2 linked regions of the Lepisosteus oculatus genome follow. The protein of the gene in region 1 interacts with the protein of each later gene in a pairwise test. Links are inferred from orthologs where the notes say so. Each region holds a gene or a part of one and is shown in the gene's direction. Other genes may lie near its edges.

Region 1 (6,917 bases):
AAAACAAACTGGAAAAGAGGTGTGCGCCCATCAGGACTACAGTAAATAACAGACCTTCTGTTGGAAGAGTACCAGCCACAGGTGTACCAGATGTATGTTTTTTATTTAGAATTCTGGACAGCTGATAAAAAAAAAATATTTTGTAATTTCTCCTTTATCTTGCATGGATCTCAGGTCTGAAAAATGTGTCAACCGTGATATGATATTTCTTGTAATAAATGTTATGTAAAGTCTTTTGTAAAAAAAACAAATGGCTGCTCTCTAAGAAAAATTGTTCCAGCGGGGAACGAAGCATTGAATTTTCATGAACTACATATGTCCTCTGTACTTTACAACAGCCTACGTTGCACAAAAGCCCGGGTAGGCAAAAGGTGCTATTACATGTATGTATATACTGCCATTTCCTGTGTTTAATAAAGTACTTTTATGCTCATGTTATGAGAGTGGGTTTGCATTTTAATGATATTTGAACTGGTGATCTGGCATCCCTCTGTTTCAGCACGTGAATGATACACAGTAATACAACTGAAGCTCCTTGGGCCCATAACATCAATAGACAACGTTACCAGTATTTAGCTTGATATCTCCTCACATCAGAAGCTTAGCAAGGTTGGGTCTTGTCAGTACTCAGATGGAAGACCTGCAAGGAAGAAGTTGCAGCTATAAGTGGTGGTGGTGTACCAGTATGCAACATGCTTCCCTCTGAACCAATGCTCTAGTATGGTGACAGGTCACACAAGAGGAACAGTCTTTTGGATGAGGCGTTAAAGGTACCTGTACTGACTACAAGGTCATGCCACTGTTCATAGGTGTAGATGTGTTTAACAAATGTCCTAGCTAAATTCCACTCAAGAAAGTGAGTTTCTGTTGCTTTATAATAAACTAACAGGGGGATTGATGTTTTTTGCTCTAAAAGAACTCTAAATCCTAACATACTGAACATATGATGATACCAGATAGACCAGAGGCAATATGTGTAAAATATTATGTTTTTTTTTTTAAATGTAGCTTTGGAAGTTTAAATAAACTCAAATAGGGAGAGAAACACATTTTGCACTGGAATAAAATGTTTTGAAAGTTTTCCTGTTAATGTTTTACCATTTTAAAAAGGCGATTGATAGAACACCTAGTATTTATTCTACCACCAACTGTATATGTGCATAGAAAGTTTTTGTAGTTTGCTTGTTGTTCTTTCACTGTATTACAACTGAAAGTTCCATTTTATATTTTCTGTGCTATGACAGTAAAATTCAATACTCATGACACTGCCAACCTGTTATTCTTGTTATGAGTTTACAGTCTGTGGGAGGGCCAGAAATAGCTTAGCCTGGCTGACACTATGGGCAGGAAATTGAGCCAAAGGTCTCGAGACTGCATGAGCAGACTTGTACAGTAAGTAACAATCGGCTTCGGATGCATATGCTGTGACCCCCTTTTCATACAGGCAGAACTGCTTTTATTATCTCCTCTTCCCTAGAAACCACTGTCTCTGCTGTATTTTGATACAAAATAGAATCGTCTGACTTGTTTGTCTTAGTCATGCTGATCAACAGTTTTGTGCACTAGAGTAACTCCATCCTGTTATTTTAGCTCAATATGTTCAGATGTCCCACTTAGCAGTGGTTGGCATTACGGCCTCACGGTGCTGGGGCTTGATCTGGAGTGCTTTCTGTGTGGAGTTTGCATGTTCACCATGTGTTCTCCCTATGTTTCTGTGGGTTTCCTCTGGGTGCTCTGATTTCCACCCAGTCCAAAAACATACTGGTTGAGTAACTGGCTCTAAGGAAAATTGGTCCTGGCGTGAATGTGTGTGGGTGTTTGTGTCTATGTGTGCCCTGCAAGGGACTGGCATCCCATTCAGGGTGTATCCTGCCTTGCACCAGTTGCTTGGCGTGACAGGCACTAGCTCCGTTGCGACCCTGAATTGGATGAAGAGGTTTGAAGATGGATGGGACTGATGAATTTCTGACTAGTGAGAAAATTGGTTGTGATGTGTATCCTGACTTGCATCTTTTGCTTTGCTAGGATAGACCATAACTCTATTCACCTAACCCTACTCTGTCCTGAAATGCCAGCGTTTTTTTATCTGAAAATTTACCTAAAGAAGATACGGTAAATTTCCAAGCGCGTTTTTCAGTGGTTTTAATGCTTTTAGACATATATTTATTGATTTGAGTAACATTTTCAAATCTGCAGGATTTGGTTAGGGGTAGCATTCCCACAGAACTTACACATATTTTACGATCACCGCTGGATTTGGGGGCTTAGGTGAAATTTAGGACGACTGATAATTTGATCCTATCTTCAAAGATTTTTGCCTGCTCATATTGTTTATTACAGTGTTCGGTATCTATTCCAAAAGTGAGTCAAATATAAAGTTGTAAGAAAACATTTTGTTGTTTAAAATGCAACTAAAATTATAACTCCAGTCAATATTAAATAGTTCTTGTAACCCTAACCCTACTCTGGCTTAAAATGCACAATTGTTTAAATACTATTGTAATAGCGTTTTTCAGCTGATTGAAAATTTGCCTAAAGAAGATACAGTCTTCAAGAAGAAACATTTCCACAAGCTTTTTTCTGTGGTTTTGATTATTTTTTCTAATATTAATTGGTTTGAGGAACATTTTCCAATCTGTTGATTTGAGGGCTTCAGAGACAGATTACAGAATTGCTAACTCGGACCCTGGCTAGGGTTAGGGTTAGCATTCGTACACTACATACACATTTTTTATGCTCAGTGCTGATAATTTGCTCTTCTTTTTTTGGAGAGTTTTGGCTACTCATGTTGTACAGTGTTCAGTAAGTGTATTGCAATGGTGACCCAGATCAAAAGTTGTAAAAAAACTTGTTCTACTGTTTAAACTCTCTTAATTTTGTCAAAGTGCAAATAAATGTTTAACTGCTGTCAACTTTTAAGGGGTTCTTGTTACCCTAACCCTAATCTAGCCTGAAATGCACAATCATCTTGAAGACCATTTTTAGTGTTTCACAGCTGATTGAAAAATGTGTCTAAAGGAGTCTTAAAGATGATAAATTTCCAAGAGCTTTTTTCAGTAGTTTTGATTTTTTCCTCATATCTGTTGGTTTCTGAAACATTTTAAAATCTGATAATTTGAGGGCTTTAGAGACAGATTGCAGATTTGCTCATTCTAAACCCTGGCTTGGGTTAGGGATAGGGCAGGAAAAGTGTTGTTTCTCTATTTGTTTCACAGATTAATTTGGCCCAGTTTTAATTTTGCCCCCTTTTGTCAACTGTTGATTAAGACTTTTGAGAATTAGATCATTTCAATTCAAGATTATACAGTGTTGGTTGTTTTCAGCCTGCATATTCTCGAGATTCAAGTAAGTGTAACTGTTTTTTATTGGGTGTCCAACCCAGACAAAGCAAACAGGAATGCATGTGCAAATGAGGAGTTGTATTTGGCTTTATAGAAGACCTGTTGTATGCAACTACTTGACAAGGCCTTCATGTCAAGAGTGACACATTCTCACAGTGGATGGTGCACATATTCTATTGTAAATGTTTCTACATTAAAGAAGAAACAATCTTGTACCATATTCATAGGTTCACAAAAGTATTGGTAAGATATTGTTAATAAATGCAAACTAACATGATTTACTCAGAATAAGCAATAAATACAAAACAAAACAGTAGGAGCTTTCTTCGAGACCCTGTAGAATCATTAAGAACATACTGTACACAGCAGTGTGTGAAATAAGCCAACTACAGGGAAAATGACCAGATTTATTGTAATCTATCCCTTTAAGGGGTTCTACGAGAGATATCCTGCAGAGGCATTCCTCAGGGCAGCATGTGATAAGGACAGGCAGAGAGCTGATTTTTCTAGGCTAGCTATCAGACCCCAGGAATGCACAGGAGCAGGGCTGGGATCAAGTGACTCCATCCAGGGGTATAAATAGAGCCTGACGCTGGGTGATAGGCAAAACTCTCCACATGCCTGCAATGATTCGGAAAGACAGAGGAGTTATAACAAAAAGGAGCTTCTTTCTTTTCCCGGAAAAGAGTGTGAATAAAGGCCAAGAAGCTGTTTAAACAACTATAAATCTAAGGACATGGATTTCCAATCGAGCATCATCCAGGAGTCCAACAGGATGGAGAACCTGGAGAAGCAGTTGATCTGCCCCATTTGCCTGGAGATCTTCTCCAAGCCTGTGGTCATTCTGCCTTGCCAACACAACCTGTGTCGAAAATGTGCCAATGATGTGTTTCAGGTGAGCTATGTACCTCAGTGCTTGGAGACCAGAATTTCAGTCTTTGCAGTAAGAATGTAGAGAAACATCAATTTCTAGTCACTTATTTTTATTTACTCATGCTGTTGCTCAAACTTTCTGCTACCTAGCTATGCATCTATCCTGTGAAAATTATTTGTCAGGAAAAGGTGATTTAAATACTGAAATCAGAACCCAGTGTAATTCCATGCAATGGTTTAATCTATTATTTCTAACATTAAGGACACACTTTAATTTAGCTCTTAAGGAATCTTTTTCATGCAGAAGAAGACGAGTCAAAGTTTCAATTACTGGCTTGGGTAGTTCGTTCTATTTGTCCAAAGGCTGTCTGCAAAAACTGGACAATGCAAGAAGCAGATTTTTTTATGTGGTCATTTGTAAGATTGGCAATGCGGGTCATAGCCACCAAAATAGAACCAGAATTCTCATGCAAAGTAATTCCAGGATTGCCTTAGAGAAAGATAGTCTAGCCTTTGGCTTGCCAAACGTGTTACCATTCACGCTGAACAGAACGCAAAGGTTGTCTTAGGATACAGTGTGCTTTGTTTCTGTAGTCTTTCAGCTAGAATAATAAAATGACTGATGTCCTGGAATGAGCCATTCACCTTATCCATGGAAGGACAAGAGACTAGGTGGAGAGAACAAAAGCTGTTAAAGCAGGTCATCAAGGACTACATGGGTCTATTTCTGTGGTGTGTTGAAATGTCTGTTTGATTTAATATTGTATCTTTTCCATGAATAGTTCTATTTGAGAAAAAGTTTAAGATTTTAATTGAGGGTATGATATAAGCAACAGAAGACATATTGGAGCTGATTTATAGCTAATATTCATGTAAGATCTTGCATGTAAAAATGCAATGCTGTTATGTCGCAGGCACTCCAATCAGTTGAAATACACATTGTTCCCACAATTGTTGTTTTAAAATCAGTCTCATCTTCTCCCCTTAAGATGCTTGTGTAAACCTGACCATGTAAAACAAGCTGGCTTTCAATTTGAAATCCACACTTATATGATTTATATTCAGCATCTCGGTTTTTTAGTCCAGTTCATAGTGACATGACAAATGCAAAGGATTACAGAGTTATACCATAAATCAAACATAGGTTTTCCTTTTGATGTTTTAAAGACCTAAACAGCATAATCAGTTAAGCTCTCATTATAACAGATAGTTACTGTACAGTTTTTGGGAAAAGGTTGCAAAGATAGTAAGATTAGTATAAGCTATCAAAGGTAGTATCTAGCTAGTATTAGCTATAAATAAGGATAATTAAATAAGTATTAGCTATAAATAAGCTATAAATGGCTGTTTATAATGGGAAATACCTTATGATACTGACCAAGGTTTGACTACTACAGTGTCAGTGCTATCAATACTCTAATCAGTATTGCATATAAGACAAAAATAAAAATAATAAACTTCTGTATTCACTAATTTATTTTTTTTATTTGAACATACTCTACAGTTAGAGTTAGATTTGAATTTAGAATGTTTTGTTCATTCATAAAGAGATCTTGAAAGGTGGTATATAAAAACAGATTATGGCAGAATGACTGACTTTCCCAGTGTTTTTCTGGGCTTGTGGTCACATTAACCCCAAGCATTTCTATTAACCCAAAAATAGAACGCTGGTATGGTTACAGTAAGCTTGTAAACACTTGCTGTTTGCTGCAGATGGAGGGAGTAGATCACTTTGCTGGCTGTAGCCACTGTAGCAATTGACTCCCACTGGGAGGAGTGGTGACAGTACCAAGCCCTGAGAAGAGCTCCTTGTACACAGCTGACTTAAAGTGGGGTAGCACATTGACAGACGAGCATAGCGCAAGGCGCCTATTAAAATTGCTGTGCCTATTAAAATTCAGTGTTAACCTGCTTTGTGTCTCTCAGCATCATGACATGATCCATTTTCAGTGTTCATCTACAGCAACCATGGTTGTAACTCAGAGCCAGAACCACCAAGTTTATTTTTAATAATGATAATAATGGAATTTTATTTGTGATCCCTTTCCAAGAAACTAGAAGTGTTGTTAATTAACAACAGAGTCCCATTCTTTGTGTAGAAACCAGTGACTGGAGAAACAGAAGGATATTGGGACTGCAGTGCCTTACCATTAGAACGTCCCTTGACATACTGAATATTCTAATGAGACACACCTTGCCTGTGCCTGCCAGCAAGTATCGGCAATGGGACCACTTTGCCTTGACATTTAATGCCCACGAGATGCTCCCCTACTGGCTTGCTGATTCCACATTTTTGGTTGTTCCAGGCTGCAAACCCGTACTGGACGTCCCGTGGTACTAATATTTCGGGAGGCCGTTTCCGGTGTCCATCATGTCGTCACGAGGTGGTCCTGGACCGGCACGGGGTCTACGGGCTGCAGAGGAATCTGCTGGTGGAGAACATCATCGACATCTACAAACAGGAGAGCAGCAGGTCAGAGCAACAGCTGCAGAGAATGGCTTGCCACTGTGCAGTGTGACCACACGCACGGTGTTTACAGTACAGCATGGTAGGACTGATTCTGCTGCTGCAGGACAACATTAACATCTACAAGGAACTGCTAAGTAAGAAGGCGGACACACAACGCAGTCACGGTACAGTACGAAGTACACCTACATGTAGAACAACCAAGAAAAATCCATTTGTGGTGAATATAGCTGACA
Region 2 (7,638 bases), on another chromosome or scaffold:
AGCTGATTCTTTGCTTCAGGTAAAAATGAGCTCATGCTTTCCACAGCATGTTGGACTGGGATAGAAATAAAGCTCGCATGTGTGTAGCAGTTTGTCTAGGTTCAGAATTCATTTCAAAATCATAAAAGTAACACACATTTGTATTATGAAATGCTCATCTGCCTCTGCAAATAAATTAATTACAAGAGTTTCCAAATGCAAAAAAAAGAACCAGCTCAAAATACCTTGCAGTGGCTGTCTCCTATCATATGCAGCTGGTGAGGTGCACTACACATATCTGCAAATATCCGAGAGTATTTGAGAATTCATTTGGTATCTATCAATAATACGGGCCACAGGAGAATGTAGAAAAGTAGCAGAGAGCAATCGTTGTCAGAGGGCATTCAAAACGCACTGCTATTATAAAAATGAGCACCTCTGATCATCGTGAAAACATTGTGTCTGCAATCCCATTGTGCAAATTTCACCCATCTGTATGAGAGCCTGCAACAGGCTCCACTGCATGATGCACTGGCCGCTGCCCTGTGAGTGTCTGCTCTGCTTTGTGCTCTGTGTGCATGAGCGTGCCTCGCAGTTTCCTCAGGTTAACCCAAGAAGAGGTTGTCAACAGCCTGTCAGCCAGAGGTTTTCACAGAGTCACAGCGAAGGCCACAGGCAAACCTCTCTGGATTACATAACCAGTTCTGCTCCACACTGCACTGTTAGACAGTCAGGCATCCCACTGCAGGCTATTCTGGAAAGTCACCAGTGACCTGCGGCTGTTGAGCCCTTTGCTCAGCAGCAGGATCACACTTGATGGCCACTGGCCAAAGACTTTACTCACACTCCCACCGACCTGTTTCCCACGTCCTGCTTCCTGCTCCCAGTTCCCTCTGTCCTTCTAGCTCTGCTTCCTCCTTCCTCCCTGATTTCAAACAGTTCCTTTCTAATTGCAGCTGGGACTCTAACCCGCCCATGAAGACAATAGCCCATGAGTTATGAGTCCGAGCTGCACTCAGAATCTCAGAGAAGAGACAGACCCAGCGAAGAACACTGAACACTTCCAAACACCAGTTTTGCAAAGAGTTGTGTCAGAGGGACACTTACACTCCAGCAGACTGAAAAGTGCACTTACTCAAGCGACACAGGAAAATGGCCTTGTTTTGTCATTACCGAGGCTCATCAAAAGGAAACCAAGCAATAACACAACTGTAAAACGGCATCATTCAACCAGCTAACAGCTGAGGTGTAAACTCTGAGCACAGCCACACAGTCAGCAGGACATGCCAGAGCTGTAGATGTGGGCTGTCTTGAAGATGGTCATGGTGATTGTGCCAGCTGGCCTTCTGTGTTTCTGCAGCCTCCCCTGTGGCACCTGGTTTTTTTGCGTTTGCTGTGGGTGAAGGCAGGAGACAGGGAGCATGCGATAGGGGAGGACAAGGGACAGGGAGCCCAGGCAGAGACTAATTTGGTAAGTCATGTCAGGGATGGACAGGAGCTCAACAGCTGCGAAACTGAACCCTCAGGGCTGATTTAGAGCAAGGTCACTTCGGTGCCACCCCTCCTCCAGCTCCCTCCCTATTCCCCCAGCATTACCCTGCCTTCTGCCCTCTCTTCACCCCCCACAACCAATGCTCATCTGCTGTTTGGTTTTCTTCTCCACAAGACTTTCTGTTTCTACCTTTCATTCTGTAAGCCTTTGCGGACTTTACAGACTAACTAAAAAGTATCTCTTCATCCTCTGCCACTTTCCCACGAATTTCAAACCAGGACTTCAGCTCCCATGCTAACGCTGCTGAGAGTCGATCCCTGTTCACTCACACTCAAGGTCATTGTGCTACTCGGGGTGCAACAGCAACACAATAATCAGCCGCTGCAGGCATCCTCTGTGCAATATCACAGGTGTGCACATCTCCTTACACACTGCAGTGTCTCAGTCTGTATCCCCAACACCCAGCTGGGATTCTGTAACGTGGGGATGTGGGGGAACACATTCAACGTGCACCACATGCACAAAGCACAAACAAATCTGAATTCTACAGAGATCCTTGAGGTAAACCAGCACTGGTCCACGAGAGCAGCTGTCCACCTGGTCTTCTCAGCTCAAGAAAACCATTGTCTATTTAAGACCTAGGGAGAGAATTAATTTGGTCCAATGAAGCTAACATCTGGCTTTAAAAGGCAATGAGGACATTTAGGAATTTGGAGATGAACATCAGAAGACTCTGTGGTCCTGGAGGGCTAGAGCTGAACACCCCCAACGTGAACCCAAATAACCAGCAATGGAAAAGGATGTCTGGCTCACCTGTCATACATTAGTTTCTTGTCTTACTAACATTTTAAATTGCAAGGAGGAGGATAGCGATTGGGCCAGTTGTTTCCGACTTTTTAAACTCCCTGATCAGTCTCTTCTTTCCACTCATGTCCTACTACTGCTGCTGGACGTACTGCGGACACAGAAACAGGTGGAAAGGAGTTCTTTCCTTCGTGTTTCTGCTCTCCTCCCTGCAGAGCCTCAGTGAGGCTGCGGCCTGGTTTCTGGTCACATGGTCCCGCTGGATAAACCATTAGTCCCGAGTGGGGGCTGATGCCCAACAGGTGCGGTCGTCACAGACTGTACTGCTAGGAGGGGGAGGACTGAAAAATGCTGCACCCGAACTGTGCTTGCCAACTGGAACAGCAAGCGGGTCTTACACCTGCCCGCTGGCACGACCTACGGAGCGTGTGATGTCCTTTCGTTCTCTGGCAGCGACGTGTGCATACCACTGGAAATAGCCTCAGCGACAGAAAGAAAAAAAACAACCCTGTTGCTGGGGCTTCTCTGACATCCAGAGGCGCAGAGCTGGGCTGAACCTCACACAGACAAGTATCCTGCAAATCTAGCCCGGTGGAAAAGAGTTCTCTCGCAAACTGCCCTGGCTGGACACATCACAAGCCTTAGACCCCCGTGCGGCACTAGAGGGTTCAGAGGTGTCACTTTTAACCACAAGATTGTTCTCCATGGTTCCTGTCCTCCTGTCCCTTGCACAACACACTAAAACTTACAAACTGCCTTTTAAAAACTTGAGTTGTTCTGCTCAACCTGCTGTTATGTTACTCTTCTGCTACAGCCCTGTTTTACTAGATTGCATAATGCTGTGAGGACTCAGACTGGGCCATCAGTCCTCCAAAACACATTTTGATCGATCATTGATCATCCTTCTCAAGCACTTGTTCTTTCGTCAAGAAATCACCTCTTGCCATCAACACTGGACACTAGCAGGGAAGGACAACAGTCATTTTTCTAAGCAATAGAAACATAATTAGACTGCTCACAGCCACAAATACTCCCTGAGATATAAAATGAAATTTGTTTTAATTTCACATCTAGTAGCTAACCGCACAATTGTCCAAGAAGATAAATAGCTCTTCAAACTGAATCTGTATGAGCCAGAACTTAGGCAATTTTTTTATCTCTAGGCTTCTCATGGGGATTGATGGCATCTTTTGATCTCTTCTGTCTATCCATAAACCTCAAAACTTCTGTCTGCAATGCTAATAGTTATTAAAATGGTTTCATTTTCTCTGCTTTAAAGGAAATGCTTTCAAAGCCCAATCATGAAAGAAACCATCAGAAAAGTCCCCTTGCAAGTGATCTTCTGCTCTTGTCAATAACAGCTTTGCTTGCTGACAAACAACAAACCTTCTTTGCACAGCTGAGACACCTCTGCTCTTCCAAAATCGAACCATGAGGCACTTAAAGAAATCTTTTCCTGAAAACCATCACTTTCGCATCAACAGCCATGGAAAATAAATCCAAGACAAAAGTTGCAAAATCTCTTGCCCAGCCCCAGGAAGCCAAGGAATCTTAGGATAATGGGATACAATTTTAGCTTCTAGGACATGTGACACTGTGTTGATCTGTGACACAATTCTCACACCTGTCTACAGTTTGACACATGAGAGGCCCAGAGAAAGAACAATAGGCAGGGATAACAATTGTATAACTCCAGTAGCAGATCATTAAAGAAGCTCTCCTCTTCAGATATCACAATCATCTTTCACAGTTAGAGCCCCACAGCTTCTTCTTTAAGGTAAACATCTCCTTCAGCACGGTTCTTGTCCAAACTAGGGACCCCCTCCACACACCCTAACCCAAGCTGCCCCGGCTGTGCTCCCCGACTCACGGAGACTCAGGAGCGCAGCTGCTTAAATATCCCGCACCGATGGAGGACTAGCAACGAGAAGCTGCCTGACAAGAATAAAAATCAATCATTTTAATCTCAATACGCACTCTGCCACACACAGGCGCATGCTTAAGTCCCAGATGTCACCACGCTGAAAGCAGAGAACCAATGCCAACTCTACGGTGCGTGATACGGAAGATAGCAAAGGTATTTTTCCAGCTCTAAAGCCATTAGGCACGGCAAGTATGTTTGGCAAACGGGGGCTTGGGTTTGCACACGCACATGGAGGCTCTCTCCTCCCCCCCGAGCTGCATGTGGGCCTGGAGAGCAGGAAGAGAGATGGCAGCTGCCGTCCCATCTTAGGTCACTGTGACGTGAGCCCCTGCCTTCCCAAATCTGAGCAGCGCTGGAGACGAGGGGCTGACCAATCCGGGCTCCGCACTCAGAAACCCAGCTGACCAATGGCCTGAGGGCAGCCTAGTATATAAACCTAAGGCTTGACTCCTTGGACCTTGGGCTACCCCTATTTCGGCTTTGGTGAAAAGGATCTGATCCCAAGGACTGTTACCTCTCCTTTTTCATCCCATCCAGGTAAATCCTCTTTGACTGTCCTTGGATGTTTTGGTGGGGTGGGTGAAGGGCAGATTGGGGTGTTCTGAAATGTGTCCTAGTAAAAAAAATAAAGCTTCATTTTAACTCTTTAAAAAAAATAAAAGTTACGATCTACCTCCAAAACCAGAGGGAAGGCATTATTCACTTTTAATTATCCATTTATTTGTACATTGCTTTAAAACTCCCATTTGCTGTGTAAAGAAAGGACCACCAAGGGTCTGAACAGTGGCCTGCTGTTGCATTTTTTACAGTTAAGCTGTGAGATTTTGCTAGGTGAAGTGAAGTTTTTTGCTAGGACTTATGAAGTGTTACTGCCGATCTATGGGTTTTGGACCTGGCTTGTGACTTTGCACAGAATGTGACATTTCTGACCTCCCATTCAAGATTGCAAACTGCTCGAAACTCCTGTGGGTTTCACAGAGGGCTCTGCGTTGAACAAGGCTGCACTGCACCATCGCGCAAAGTGGTGGAGCTCTGTGCCCTTGGCTCTTATCAGCTGCTTGTGTGAAGGGTCTGTGCTGCAGAACGCAACACAGTGGCAGCAGGGAGAGAGGGCTCTGTCGGTCCTCATCAGCCCTGAGAGTGAAGGCAGTAGAGATCAGGGAAGAGGTGGAAGGAGAGGGCATGAATGGAGAATTTCGCTTCTCTTATGCCGTGTTTTATCAGTGAGCGTGGACAGGGCAGTGTCACCGGTCTCTGCCGGACTTTACGATGCCAAAGTCAAGGACCCTTCAAGGTCACAGGAGAAGAAGAAAATACCAGACTTGGCCTTTTGGTTTTATACCTATCGGCTCCAAATGTGCACCTGATGTAAAAGGAAGAGGTGTTATTTCAAGATTGCTGCAGTGTAACACAGAGCAATGAGCAGTTGCAAAGGTATATTGTGTTGCAATGCAGTGCCACAATGTTCCCATTTACTTGTGAATGTCTAACAGTGGCAGACTTATCTTGATTTTTTTCTGCATAACTGCTTAACCACTTAAAAACACTTAGAAAGCATTCTGTATCTATTGGCAAATGCTAAAGGCTTGACAGCAAGTATTTGATAAGTACTGTGTCAGTGCCAATACTAATCACACTAATCCAAAGTACTGTAGTTGCAATTTGCAGGTGATGGTCCACTTACGACAAGTGTACGCACAATCAATACAACACAGAGTGCTGTGTAATCTGTGTCTTGGTCTTGGTGTGATAAGCTGTCATGACAGCTGACGATTTCTGATTTCTGTCTCCCACACCACCTGTCTTTGTCACACAGTCCACAGCAGTTCGCTAACGTTGTATGCAAGCGAATGATCTATGGACGGCTTTTTGTTTGAGATTTTTCTCTCCTTCCCCATCTAAACCAGATTCCAGAAGAGCCAGACATCAGATCCCTTTCTGTCCAGTTTCTCTTGTCACTGGTGTGGGAATTCCTTCTCCTAGGATAATGCAGAATGAACTCAGCCAGAGATGGTCCTGTCCATGAAAGCCCCGTTTGTGCTCAATTATTACTTTGCAAACTTGCTGGCTTTCTCTGACAAAACCCACTTCAATTTCCTGGTGCAACAGCTGCCCTGGCATTGATGCTCTGCAAAACAAAAAAATTGGACTTTTTTAACACTGGTACATTTTAGTTCAGAAAAGTTAAAGGAATGAAAAAAACTGAACAATCCAGAAAAAAGAAAGACATCTTTCTTGTGTAAGACATCTGGCGACAAAAACCTGGTCATCTAATAAAGAAATGAAAAATCTCAGGTTGTTGCAGATGGGTGTGTTGCTGACATGTTTGATGCTTAAAAACAGAAGTTTGAGTTCCAAAACACCAGAGAAAATCTGGCACTCCACGAAATGTTTAAAGCGGTCCTGCAGGAGGTTCTTTTCTTTAAGGAGAGAAACAAAATGAACATCACCAACAGACACTAGCAGACTCAGGTTACACAAAAGACTTTTTTACTTACGTTTCAGGAAAAAAAACAAGTTCTGCATTAACTAGAGACAACGTTACCTCCTACAGCCATCCAATGATGAAGCTGAAAGAGTTTCAAAGCAAACCAGAAGCTAGCAATGAAAGTGCCCCAGAGTAAAGTGTTGTCAAGGGAGTTAAAAGATATAAAACTGCCCCCAGAGGAGCAGCTGCGAGCTGTGCATGTTGGAGAGGCATCTGCATGCAGTTTAATTGCCGGACGTGTGAATGCAGGCCGGGCCAGCCTGTAAGCTGATCCTCAGGGAGAGCTGTTCCAGAACAGAAGACAGCAGCTGCATGGCAGAGCACATTTGCCTAGTGTGCTCCCTTTAAGTGGTGGGAGATAGGAAAGAATGGGGGGGGGGGGGCAGCCTATTTATACATGCCGCTACCCTGTGCACATACACCCACAGAAGCTCCTCTCGTCTCTATTCATAGAGGAAACCTGATGCGCTGGCTGAAGCAAGCTGGGAGAGCCTTAGCAAAGTCTGCAGGGCTGTTGGATCAGTTGACACATGGTACAGTGCACAGCTGTTCCCAGCAGTCTCCCCTCCCCTCAGCTCCTTGCTAGGCTAGGGATGAGCTGGGCATTTAGAATAGCAAGACACTGGATGATTTTTGCACACCAGGATCAAAAATGGACCTTCCATAACCCTGGAAAAGGAAAAGAAGGCGGCACTTCAGTGTGGAGACCATCCAGCTAGACACTTTCTGCATTGCACATCTCTCAGAGTGTTACTGTATGACGCTGTGTCTACAGTCAAATTGTAGATGTAAAGAGACCAGTAGGAACTAGTACCAGGAGCTTCAGCCAGTGCACTTATATTCTTATAATGAAAAGAACAGCATTAGACTGAGACTCTGTACAGTGGAGAGTTTTGTCGTCTGTGGGCTCCCTGCTTCGTTCTGTCAAACAGATGACTTACCCGTCTGTGT

The links. The genes of interacting proteins can lie anywhere in the genome.
Region 2: the proteins of E3 ubiquitin-protein ligase TRIM63 (region 1) and ckma interact in a two-hybrid assay, tested with the Homo sapiens proteins (2 studies listed by BioGRID). The link is inferred for Lepisosteus oculatus from reciprocal best matches to the Homo sapiens genes TRIM63 and CKM.

Annotation. Positions count from the first base shown.
Region 1 is NC_090706.1:9,008,291-9,015,207, forward strand, and holds the start of E3 ubiquitin-protein ligase TRIM63, read left to right. Parts: upstream 1-3,902; 5' UTR 3,903-4,077; coding exon 4,078-4,236; intron 4,237-6,520; coding exon 6,521-6,687; intron 6,688-6,917. UniProt on the Homo sapiens protein: E3 ubiquitin ligase. Mediates the ubiquitination and subsequent proteasomal degradation of CKM, GMEB1 and HIBADH.
Region 2 is NC_090698.1:1,919,577-1,927,214, forward strand, and holds the start of ckma (creatine kinase, muscle a), read left to right. Parts: upstream 1-4,625; 5' UTR 4,626-4,736; intron 4,737-7,638. UniProt on the Homo sapiens protein: Reversibly catalyzes the transfer of phosphate between ATP and various phosphogens (e.g. creatine phosphate).